Struthio camelus: one gene and its partners. The protein of the gene in region 1 purifies or fractionates together with the protein of each later gene. This does not show direct contact. Links are inferred from orthologs where the notes say so. Each region holds a gene or a part of one and is shown on either strand. Other genes may lie near its edges.

Evidence for each region.
Region 2: the proteins of RYK (region 1) and PCDH7 purify together in Homo sapiens (affinity purification with mass spectrometry; 3 studies listed by BioGRID and IntAct, with this or other methods). This does not show direct contact. The link is inferred for Struthio camelus from reciprocal best matches to the Homo sapiens genes RYK and PCDH7.
Region 3: the proteins of RYK (region 1) and ADGRA3 purify together in Homo sapiens (affinity purification with mass spectrometry; 3 studies listed by BioGRID and IntAct, with this or other methods). This does not show direct contact. The link is inferred for Struthio camelus from reciprocal best matches to the Homo sapiens genes RYK and ADGRA3.

The regions. Positions count from the first base shown.
Region 1 is NC_090950.1:2,897,201-2,900,945, reverse strand, and holds the start of RYK (tyrosine-protein kinase RYK), read left to right. Parts: upstream 1-1,569; coding exon 1,570-1,861; intron 1,862-3,745. UniProt on the Homo sapiens protein: May be a coreceptor along with FZD8 of Wnt proteins, such as WNT1, WNT3, WNT3A and WNT5A. Involved in neuron differentiation, axon guidance, corpus callosum establishment and neurite outgrowth.
Region 2 is NC_090945.1:65,070,349-65,074,093, reverse strand, and holds the start of PCDH7 (protocadherin-7), read left to right. Parts: upstream 1-1,527; 5' UTR 1,528-1,611; coding exon 1,612-3,745.
Region 3 is NC_090945.1:68,050,559-68,054,303, forward strand, and holds the start of ADGRA3 (adhesion G protein-coupled receptor A3), read left to right. Parts: upstream 1-1,068; coding exon 1,069-1,340; intron 1,341-1,743; exon of another isoform or gene 1,744-2,028; intron 2,029-3,745. UniProt on the Homo sapiens protein: Orphan receptor that may have a role in planar cell polarity pathway.

The DNA of each region.
Region 1 (3,745 bases):
TGATCCTGCTGTTTGCCCTGCTCCCTCTTCTCAGGATCCTCAACTCCACCATCTCCTGGTCACTGCAGCCACGGCTGCTCCCGACCCTCACATCCCCAACCAGCCCTTCCTTCTTCATAAGTATGACGTACAGCAGAGCACCTCTCCTCGTTGGCTCCTCTGTCACCTCTGCCAGGAAGTTGTCATTGATGCTCCTCAGGAACCTCCTGGATTGCTTGTGCCCTGCTGTGTTGTCCCTCCAGCAGATATTGGGGTGCTTAAAGTCCCCCATGAGGACCAGGGCTTGCGAACATGGGGCTACTTCCAGCTGTCTGTAGAAGGCCTCATCTTCTTCCTGATCAGGCGGCCCATAGCAAACAACCACAACAGCGTTACCCATACTGGCCTGCCCCTTCATCCTCACCCATAAGCTCTCAGTCAGCCCATCACCCACCCCTAGGCAGAGCTCCATACATTCCAGCTGCTCCCTCACATAAAGGGCGACTCCCCCTGCTCTCCTTCCTGGCCTGTCCTTCCTAAAGAGCCTGTATCCATCCGTTGCAGCATTCTAGTCACACAAGCTGCCCTCCCCACAAGTATTTGCCCCCTTCCCACACATGTACCTATGCATGATTTCATCCTGACATATGGGGGTGATGTAACCTGATGCTCGAATGTCTCTGTTAGCATTTGGGTAAATTTAGACATGTGTCAGGTAAGGACAATGCGGCCATCAGATTATGCTGGAGAGAAGCTGAGAAGTGGTATTGCTGATGAAGCACAAAGGAAGCAGAGGCGCTTCCAAAAATTAAAGCAGCCCGGATGGAACGAGAACCATCCAGAAAGCACGAAACCAGAACCCTCTCCGCAAGGCCTTAGAAATCGCCCAAAGCAGACACTGGACATGAAGATCCTTGATTTATCAACCATGGGGGTTGGCACAGGAACAGAAACGGATTCGCTACGGGTTTCAAAGCTGTTCAGCGGGCCAGGACCGCTCAGCAGTTAAGGGAGGAGGCTGAGAAGGCCTCCTCGGCCCAGGCGCGGGCAGCGCGGGCCACACGGCCCCTCGGCCCACTGAGCAGCCGGAGCCAGGCGGCTGCTGGCTCGGCCCCGCTGCCCCGCGGGCAGGGCAGGGTGCCGGCCTGGCCAGGCAGCTCCCCCGCCGCCCGCTCTGAAGTGGCGGCCCCGGGAAGCGCGGGAGGGCGGCGCCGGCCCCGCCCCGAGGCGGGCGCGAAACGGCCGCTGCCAGCGCCGCGGCCGGCGGCCCCGGGGGGCGGGGCCGGGGGCGGGGCGCGGGGAGGGCAGGGCTGTGCGCCTGCGCGCCATCGTCGGCTGAGTGCCGCGTGGGGGAGGGGTGGGCGCCGCCGCCGCCGCCGCCGCCGCCGCCGCCGCCGCCGCCGCCGCCGCCGCCGCCGCCGCCTGCGGGCCGCGGGGGGGGGCGCGGGGCGGGTCCTGCCGCGGAGGAAGCGGCGCGAGCGGCCGCCGCGGGCGCGGAGTCATGAGCGGTGGGGCGGGGACTGGGGGCCGCCGCGGCGTGTGAGGGGTCGGCGGGGCTGGGGGCGGGGGGGGCCCCCTCGCCGCAGAGCGATGGTGCCGGAGCGGCGGGGCGGGGGGCGGCGGCGGCGGGGCCGGCCCCCTTTAGCGCCGGCGGAGGCGGGCGCGGGGCAGCGGCGGCCGCCGCGCCGGGTGCGGGGCCCGCACCGCCATCTCCTCCGCCTCCTGCCGCCGCTGCTGCTGCTCCTGCTGCCCGCCGGCGCCGCGGGCCAGGCCAGCCCCAGCTCCGGCCCGCACGCCGCGGGCCCCCCGCACTGGCCCCCCGCTGGGCCCGGTCCCAGCCTCAGCCTCTACCTGAGCGAGGAGGAGGTGCGCCGGCTGATCGGTGAGTGCGGGCTGGGGCCGCTCCAGGCCCCGGGCGGGGTGGGGGGGCCGCGGCCGGGTGGCAGCCGCCGGGCGGGGGTCGCGGCGGCAGCGCTGCGGGTGGGGGCGCAGGCGGGGCCGGGGTCTGCGAGCCTGGCCTGGCGCTGGTTGTGGGGGCCCGGGAGGGGGTGGGACGGCCGAGGCGTCCAGGAGAGGAGAGGGGTGTCAGGGGGACGGGGGTGGCGGTGGCAGTCCGGGGGCCTGAGAGGGCGTGGGGGGTGCTCAGTGGGACTGGGGTGGGAGGTCTGTGGGGCTGGGGTGGAGGTGGGTGAGCGTGGGGGCTTGGGAGAGGATGGGGTGGGTGTCTGTGGGGCTGGGGTGGAGGTGGGTGAGCGTGGGGGCTTGGGAGAGGATGGGGTGGGTGTCTGTGGGGCTGGGGTGGAGGTGGGTGAACGTGGGGGCTTGGGAGAGGATGGGGTGGGTGTCTGTGGGGCTGGGGTGGAGGTGGGTGAACGTGGGGGCTTGGGAGAGGATGGGGTGGGTGTCTGTGGGGCTGGGGTGGAGGTGGGTGAACGTGGGGGCTTGGGAGAGGATGGGGTGGGTGTCTGTGGGGCTGGGGTGGAGGTGGGTGAACGTGGGGGCTTGGGAGAGGATGGGGTGGGTGTCTGTGGGGCTGGGGTGGAGGTGGGTGAATGTGGGGGCCCAGGAGAGGATGGGGATTGCTTTGTAGGACCAGCGTGGGGGGACTGAGGGGATCATGAGGAAGGCATGGGGGGAATGGAGGAGTCTGAAGGCACTGAAGGGACTCTCTGTGTCCAGCCATGTATATGTGTATGGGATTTTAGGGGAAGAAAAGTGTCCTGTTTTTTTGTTTGTTTATTTTTTTCCTACCGTAATAGTGAGTACTTCTCCAGGTTCAAGTGACTGGGAATATTGTGCTGCAGGAGCAGCGTAAGCCCTAGGAGAGATGAGTTCAGGCCTGTGATTTAATTAGTGAGGGGAGTGACATTCAGAGGGCAGAGAGGAGACCTGGCAATAATTGGGAGCGTGTGTGAAAGGAATCATAATTTCCAGGGAGGCTGATAATTGCTGCGCAAGTATTCAGAGACAGTCCTATGCGGTCTACCACCTGGCCCAGCACAGAAGACTCTCATAGCAGTTTTGCTCTTGGAGAGTCTCTGGTTTAAACAAAGATTTGTTTTCTCTAGACTTTGACTTGCTTAGGATCTTGTTTAGAGTTGATTGCTAGAGTCTCAAAACAAATACGTCAGTATCCCTAGTGATCTGGCCTCTAGTAAGCGTCCTTCTATATCTGTGTAAGCTGGAAACGAAATCTTCTAACAGCACAAGACTTTATTTGCATCAAATAGACAAAATAAAAATGTCTCCAGTTAATCTGATCTCTGTAAGCACATAGCTGACTGAAGTCAGGGGACCCAGAGCGTGAATAACTCTGTAAACGTTTTCTCCCTTATGGCTTGCGCTGGCGATTAGCATTCTATTGTCATCATTTTTACATTGTGTGTGCTTAACTGCCAGATGCTCTATTACAGATGCGGGATTTGAGGGGGAAAAAAAAAGTCTTGCTGTTTAGCTGGGTTTCTAAACAACTAATTAATCTTTGAAATACTGAATAGTAAGGCTTGAACTCTCCTGAGTCTGACGACTGAAATGAGTACGAGTTGAACTTGCTCAGACTTTTGTGGTTCACTAGCATAATTATTAATCATTCAATAGAACCTAAGGAAGACAAGCTTTTTTGTTTTGTGGTCATTTTTGTTTTTAAGTTAAATTGCATCTCTTAATCTCTCTTAAGGGTGGTATTGCTAGTGAGGCTAAAGTCGCTTACCAAAGATGTCCAGAGCTATTCTATGTCATGTAAAGTATATGACTCTTAGCAATCTCT
Region 2 (3,745 bases), on another chromosome or scaffold:
GCAGGCGGCTCTACTGCTGCAGCGTCAGGGAAGAGCTACCGAGAGAGGCTTCAGCAGCTCCCACCACTTTGGGCAAACTTGCCGGTTTACTGCTTTTTTTTTTTTTTTTTTTTCCGGGTGGGAAGCTTCTCAGTTGCCATTCAACATTTTAAAGCACAAGCCGCTTTGCCGTGAAAGCGCCTGAGCCACACTTCTCTGAAAGACACAGGAGGGAATACACAATTGCAGATTTCACCCACCGTGGCGGTGCAGATCAGAGGAAACAACTGACTGATATCATTTTATTTGCAAATAGAACTCTGTGCATTTTTTAACCGCGTCGCGGCTCTTTTCCCCTCCCCTTTGCCATTCCGCTTATATGGATGTAATTCAGAATCTGTGTTAATTCACGTGGGGGATCCAGTTACATCTTGTTCCGCTCCGGGTATATTAACGAGAGACCAATAATCGCCTTTGGACAACACAGTCTTGTTGCTAACCTTTGAACTGAAAGGATCAAGTTCAGATCTGGTTACCTGCATTGGGACGGGAAGGAAGAGGCGAGAGAGAGCGAGAAAGAGAGAGAGAGCGAGAGAGAGACTGCAATCTCATTTGTGAATCGCTCTCAGTGCTGCAGATCCAGATTGCTATAACACATGCAGTACAAATGCAGGTAAGGCACACACACAAACTGCGGATGCAAAAACAAACTTGGGACTGTTGTGTATGTTCATATCTACAGCCTTGCAAATTGTGGGCAAACGGCTTCTGCAGTTTCTGTATCGTTGCTTTGTGACTAATGACCTTGCGCAGAGTTGTTAAAAAAATCCTCTCCGGAGAAAGAGGTGAACATTTTAGGCGATCTCTGAAGATGGATTTGGGTGCTTTTCTGCCAACCGAAGGGGATAGTCTATGGACTGCTCTGTAATACACGGGGTTCTTCTCCTATCAGTTGTACAGCTACCGACATTATTGGGATTTTTAATTTTTTTTAATCTTTTTAAATTATTATTAATTTTTTAAAGAACTGCCCATTGCTAAGAGGATTTGGAGTTTTCCCGGACACAAGCCCTTTGAATAAAGCGAATCACATTTTTTTCCTGTGTGTGCAGAGAGGGGGAAGAATAAAGCTAATGCCTTGGTCGTAAACGGCTGAGAGAGAGCGAGAGCGAGAGAGCGAGAGAGAGAGAGAGAGAGAGAGAAAAGAGAGAGTGTGTGAATTGTAGTTAACTCTAGTGTCGAAGAAGACGACCTGGGGGGCTTCAAATCGCACAGTTCTGCTCCTGCTTTTATTGCAAACCTTGCAAAGTGATTACAGTAAAATCAGAGAGGAGGAGGAGGAGAAGGGGGAGGAGGAGGAAAATCCCATCCTATCTGCTGAGATGAATCTTTAAAAAGCAAAATACACTGTCCCGTGAACTGTAAGTATATCGCAACTGGAAGGCAGGGAGAACAGCAGAGGAGCCAACAGCAGGGTTTTGACCACCAATTGCAGCAGCCATGAGACAGTAAGTTTCCAGGAACAGAAGGATTTTATAATTGATCATCCGGACGCCTTTCTGTTGGCTTATCAGGGGAGTTTACTGAGGGGCGGGTGGGACTGAGAGGAGGGGGGTTTTCGGTGCGAAGAAGATGAGGAAGATGCGGACTCTCCTTGGCTTTGTACATTGCTGCTGCTGCTGCTGCTTCTTGCTCCTCCTGCCTCCGCCGCTCTGGGTCAGCCTAGCAGCGGCCAAGCAGCTCCTGAGGTACAGGCTGGCCGAGGAGGGACCCGCCGACATCCGCATCGGCAACGTGGCTTCCGACCTGGGTATCGTGACGGGCTCCGGAGAGGTGACATTCAGCCTGGAATCGGGCTCCGACTACCTCAAGATCGATAACATGACCGGGGAGCTGAGCACCACGGAGCGGCGCATCGACCGCGAGAAGCTGCCGCAGTGCCAGATGATCTTCGACGAGAACGAGTGCTTCCTAGACTTCGAGGTGTCGGTCATCGGCCCCTCGCAGAGCTGGGTGGACCTCTTCGAGGGCCGGGTCATCATCCTGGACATCAACGACAACACCCCTACCTTCCCTTCCCCTGTCCTCACGCTTACCGTGGAGGAGAACCGGCCCGTGGGGACCCTCTACCTGCTTCCCACCGCCACCGACAGGGACTTTGGCCGCAACGGCATCGAGCGCTACGAGCTGCTGCAGGAGCCCGGCGGGGACGGGGGCCGGCGCGGCGGCGGCGGGGGCGGCGGGGGCGGCGGCGGCGGCGGCGGCGGGGGGGCGGCTTCCGTGGCCGCCGAGAGCGCCCTCTACCCCGGCGGCAGCAAGCGGAGGCAGGAGGCGGACGGGGCGGCCCGGAGCAGCGTGTTCGAGCTGCAGGTAGCCGATACCCTCGACGGGGAGAAGCAGCCGCAGCTGATCGTCAAGGGGGCGCTGGACCGGGAGCAGCGGGACTCCTACGAGCTAAGCCTCCGCGTACGGGATGGCGGCGACCCGGCCCGCTCCTCGCAGGCTATCCTGAGGGTGCTGATCACCGACGTGAACGACAACAGCCCCCGCTTCGAGAAGAGCGTCTACGAGGCGGACCTGGCGGAGAACAGCAGTCCCGGGACCCCCATCCTGCAGCTTCGAGCCGCAGACCTGGACGTGGGGGTAAACGGGCAGATCGAGTACGTCTTCGGGGCGGCCACCGAGTCCGTGAGGCGCCTGCTGCGGCTGGACGAGACCTCGGGCTGGCTCAGCGTCTTGCACCGCATCGACCGCGAGGAGGTGAACCAGCTTCGCTTCACCGTCATGGCCCGGGACCGGGGCCAGCCCCCCAAGACAGACAAGGCCACGGTAGTGCTAAACATCCGCGACGAGAACGACAACGTGCCCACCATCGACATCCGTAAAATCGGGCGCATCCCGCTGCGGGACGGGGTGGCCAGCGTGGCCGAGGACGTGCTGGTGGATACTCCTATCGCGTTGGTGCAGGTGTCGGACCGGGACCAGGGCGAGAACGGCGTGGTGACCTGCACCGTGGTGGGAGACGTGCCCTTCCAGCTCAAGCCGGCCAGCGAGGGCGAGGGGGAGCCACAGAACAAGCGCAAGTATTTCCTCCACACTTCGGCCCCTCTGGACTACGAGGCTGTCCGCGACTACAACGTGGTGATCGTGGCTGTGGACTCGGGCAGCCCGAGCTTGTCCAGCAACAACTCTTTGCTGGTGCGGGTCGGGGACACTAATGACAACCCTCCCGTGTTCAGCCAGGCCGTGCTGGAGGTCTCCTTCCCGGAGAACAACTTGCCCGGCGAGAGGGTGGCCACAGTGGTCGCCACGGACGCGGACAGCGGCAAGAACGCCGAGATCACCTACTCCCTGGAGCCCTCGCCCCTTTCCTCGGAGGCACCAGGAGGCATCTTCAGCATCGACCCGGACTCGGGCGACGTGTCGGTGCAGGCGGTGCTGGACCGCGAGCAACGCGACACCTACGAGTTCCAGGTGACGGCCCGGGACAAGGGGGTGCCTTCCCTGCAGGGCTCCACCACCGTGGTGGTGCGGGTGGCAGACCGCAACGACAACGAGCCGCGCTTCATGCAGGACGTGTTCACTTTCTACGTGAAGGAGAACCTGCAGCCCAACAGCCCCGTGGGCATGGTGACCGTGATGGACTTCGACAAGGGCCGCAACGCCGAGCTCAGCCTCTCCATCCAGCCAGGCGAGCACGACCAGGCAGCCGGCATCTTCTCCATCGAGAACGACACCGGCACCATTTACTCCACCGTCTCCTTCG
Region 3 (3,745 bases), on another chromosome or scaffold:
TGAAAACACGACATTGACTACACCCAGAAAAAGCAGTCCTAAGTGTGCAAGGAAAGAAACCTGGAGGGTGGGTTCTTTCTTTCTAACATTTGAGATTTATGATATTGAAATTGCTTTTTCCATCCTTTAGCTTTTCAGATGTAAAATGGGAATAACAGGATTGGCTTCCTTCACAGGGATAGCATGCGCACAATGGTCTTAAGAGCGAGCTGCTCAGTGTTACGGTACCAAGGGCCACGTAGGCCCTTAGACAAGCAATTATCCTTTCTCCACGAAGTGGCAACTGCCCTTCCATAAGGGAAAAGACCGGGGGGGGGGGGGAGGAGGTGTGCGAGCAGACTGCAGGTAAAGCCAAGCGGCTCTGCCTTACCTTCTGCAGGGGGCCACGGCCCAGCTGCAGAGGGGCCTATGCTCTGACACGAGGCGTTAGCGATACCCGCGACCAGCCGGAGGACAGCGGGCAACCGGCAGGACAAAGAGCCCCGGCGGCCGGCGCTGCCCGGCGCAGCCGCCGCCGCCCCCACCTCCCAACGGCCGCCGGGCGGGGGAACGCGGCAGCCCCTTCGGGAGGACCCGGCTCCTCCTCCGCAAAGCACCAGCGGTCCCTTGCGGGAAGCTGCCGCCTTCCCTCCGCCGAGGCGGCACCGCCGCCCCTCTCCACCGGGCAGCAGCACCTCCCCGCCGCCGCCCCCGCCTCACGCGGCGCCGCGCAGGCGCGCTGGGAGCCGCCGCGGCTCCGGCGCTTGCGCAGTGGCGGCGGGCGCCCGCGGGGCGCGCTGCCCTGGCTCCGGCGGCGGCGGCAGGCGGCGCTGGTGCGGCCGCGCGCAGCCCGCCCGGCCCGACACAAAGAGGAGGGCGGATGCGGCGGCTGCGGCTTCTGCCCGTCCGCCCGCGGCTCGCCGCCCCCCGGCACCACATGGCGGCGGCGTCGCCGCCCCCGCGGAGCTCCGGCCCGCGCTAGGCCACGGGGAAGCGCATCCCCCCCCTTCTCGCCCGCCCGGTCCCGGCGGTCCGCGGCGCCTCCGGCAGGGGCGGAGCGGGGCCCTGAGCGCCTGGCTGGCTCCCGCCATGCCGCCCGCCGGCCGCCGCTCCTCCTGCCGCCCGCCGCGTCCCCGCCGCCGCCCGCCGCGGCTGCTGCCCGCGCTGCTGCTCCTGGCCGCGCTGGGCGGCGGCGGCGGCGGCGCGCTGCCCCCCGGCTGTAAGTACGACGGGCGCCCCAAGAGCGGCGGCAAGTCGGTGGCGGGCGCTGGCGGCCCCGTGGAGGTGAAGGTGGTTTGCAGCAACCTGGAGCTGGCTCAGGTCCTGCCTGCCGAGGCGCTGCCCAACCGGACGGTCACCCTGTGAGTAGGGGCCGGCGGCGGCGCGGCCTTGGTGCGACGTGGACAGGGGAAGGGAGGGGAGCGGGCAGCCGGCCTGCCCGGACGGTGCCGGCCGTGCCCGCGGGGGGGTTACGTGGGGTCAGCCCCAACGGGAGGCCGCCCGCCTGGCGCGGGTGGGGGGGGGGACGTCCCGGGAAGTGGTTTTTGTGTTGGTTTTGTGTTCTTGTTTAGCCTTCCGGTATAGTAATTTTGAGGCGAAAAGTGATTTGTGGAGGGCTGTGTGAGACGTCCAGCTTTATTACCGTAATGAGCCGTGCCTGCGCCGTAAAAGTAAACAAGCTCGGCGTTACTCACCGGCGCGGCGGTACCGCGGCGCGGTCGGGCCGGGCGGCCGGCGGGGGCGCGCGCGGCCCCGCCCCCTCCCGCCGGCCCCTGCGGGCCAACGGGCGCTCCGGCGGGCGGGCCGCGCTCTGCGGCCGCGTTGCGTCTGCCCGGCGTCGGCCGCCGGGCTGCCCCGCCGCGGGATGTCTCCGCACGTACAGGAGTCAAACAAGTAACCTCCTCCCCCCCACTCGTGTGCCAGACCACCGAGGCGACTTCTGCTCTCTTTTCACACTTTTCACCTCGATCAATCCTGCGAAGTAATTAAGCATGTTGATAAAGACTGCAGTTACTGCGTGGTTAGAGCCTTGGGTGCCCTTTCCCTAAGGTAAGCGGCCGGTCCAGCGGTCCCTAGAACTTGCTGGAGGTTGTTTTTGAGCTTTATTTCAGGAGGAGCTCAGCTTTAGGATACCTTATCTTGGGGCAGTTGTGATGGACCACGTATGAATAGGTCGTGCGGCCATTCGGTGTGTGGTAGGTTAGGTATGTTTGAAGCCTGACAGTGACAAACAACAACTTGTTCATTGCAGTGCATGATACAACAGCTAAGGGGATTTACTTTGTGTCATCCTTAAAAAAAGGTCAATTTACTTTTCCTTAAGAGTAGGTGTGGTTTATTTTATATTTAGTTAATCATAGCCCTTGCATTTAAATAACAGGTTTCAAACCGGATATGTAGCATATTCCAAAGTAAGTTTATTGCTGTTACTTAAACTTCGGCATGTGCGTGTAGACAGACGATTTGGAAGTTGTGACATTAACTGAACACTCTAGCAAAGAAGTTATACAGCAACACTGTTTCTTTTCTTTTCTTTTTTTTTTTTTTTTGTGGATGGCCCCAAAAGTGAAATCCTTCTTCCTTTAGAGAGCCTAAGGTGCCCATACTACTATGGGAAGACACAAGTGCATCCAAGTAGCTTGCAAGAAAAATCGATGAAAATAAGCTGACCTATGGGGTATAGCTTAAACATATTTATCTATTTGTCTGGAAATCACAGGGTGAGAATCTTTTTCTAAGGGTAGAAGTTTACAGCTCTTTTTTGAAACCAAATAATTTGAGTTTAAGGAGCGCCAAATGTCTATACAGTTCTGTCACGACAACAGCAATTTGACTGTTGCGTTTGTGAACTTTGATGCCACCGAAACACCAAATAAAGGCTTCCTTGGCAATTGACAGTGAAGTATGGATGCCAGTCAGCAGCAGATGCACGGACCTAGACCCATGAGAAAAGAGAAAACCAAAAAAATGGGAGGTGATTCAGACTAAAACAGTAATTCTCAGCTTGCAAATGTGCAGGGTTTCAGAGAATATTTTTAAGGGGCATGTGAGAAATGATCAGAAATATTCACGTGTGAAGTTTCCAAAGTAGAAAAGAAAGCAAAAAGTAAAGACAAATGTTTAATCAACAGGCTTATTTAGCCTTTGTTAAACTTACCTAACTCCTAAACAGTGTTTTGCATCTGGTTGATCTAACTATTGAAATATAGTATTATCTGTTACAATTTAGCTTAAAAGTGCATGTTAGACTCTGGGAATTGCTGAAGCTGACTCTATCTTTTGGTTCAAAAAGCTTGGAGCCACAGCTGTGATTTCTGTGGAAGACAAGCAGATATCAAATACCGCAGCCTTGCTCTGAATGGACTTTTGTTTGCAACTGTAGTGAGAGAAGAATTTGGAAGAATGGTTCCTCTTTCATCTTGATTCTTCATACCTCTTCATCATTGAGAGCATACCCACGTGCACTAATTAGTTGCTTTTGCTTTTAGCTGGCCTTTGAAGTTTATGGTAACTTCTGAAACATTTTTCCCTTAAATACATACTGTTAAACTTTCTGATAGACATAGCAAGAAACAGAATGAGATTTTTCATTATGTGTAGAAACTGTCATAATTGTATTGATGCAATTGATGTGAACACACTCTTTGAAATTTGATTTAAATATAAGGTGAAAATTATTAAATGCTTTTTTTTTTTTTCTTTTCCTCTAAGATAACGGACAGAATACCTGTTGTGGTTTGGGATCTTCCATTGCACTCACTTCTGA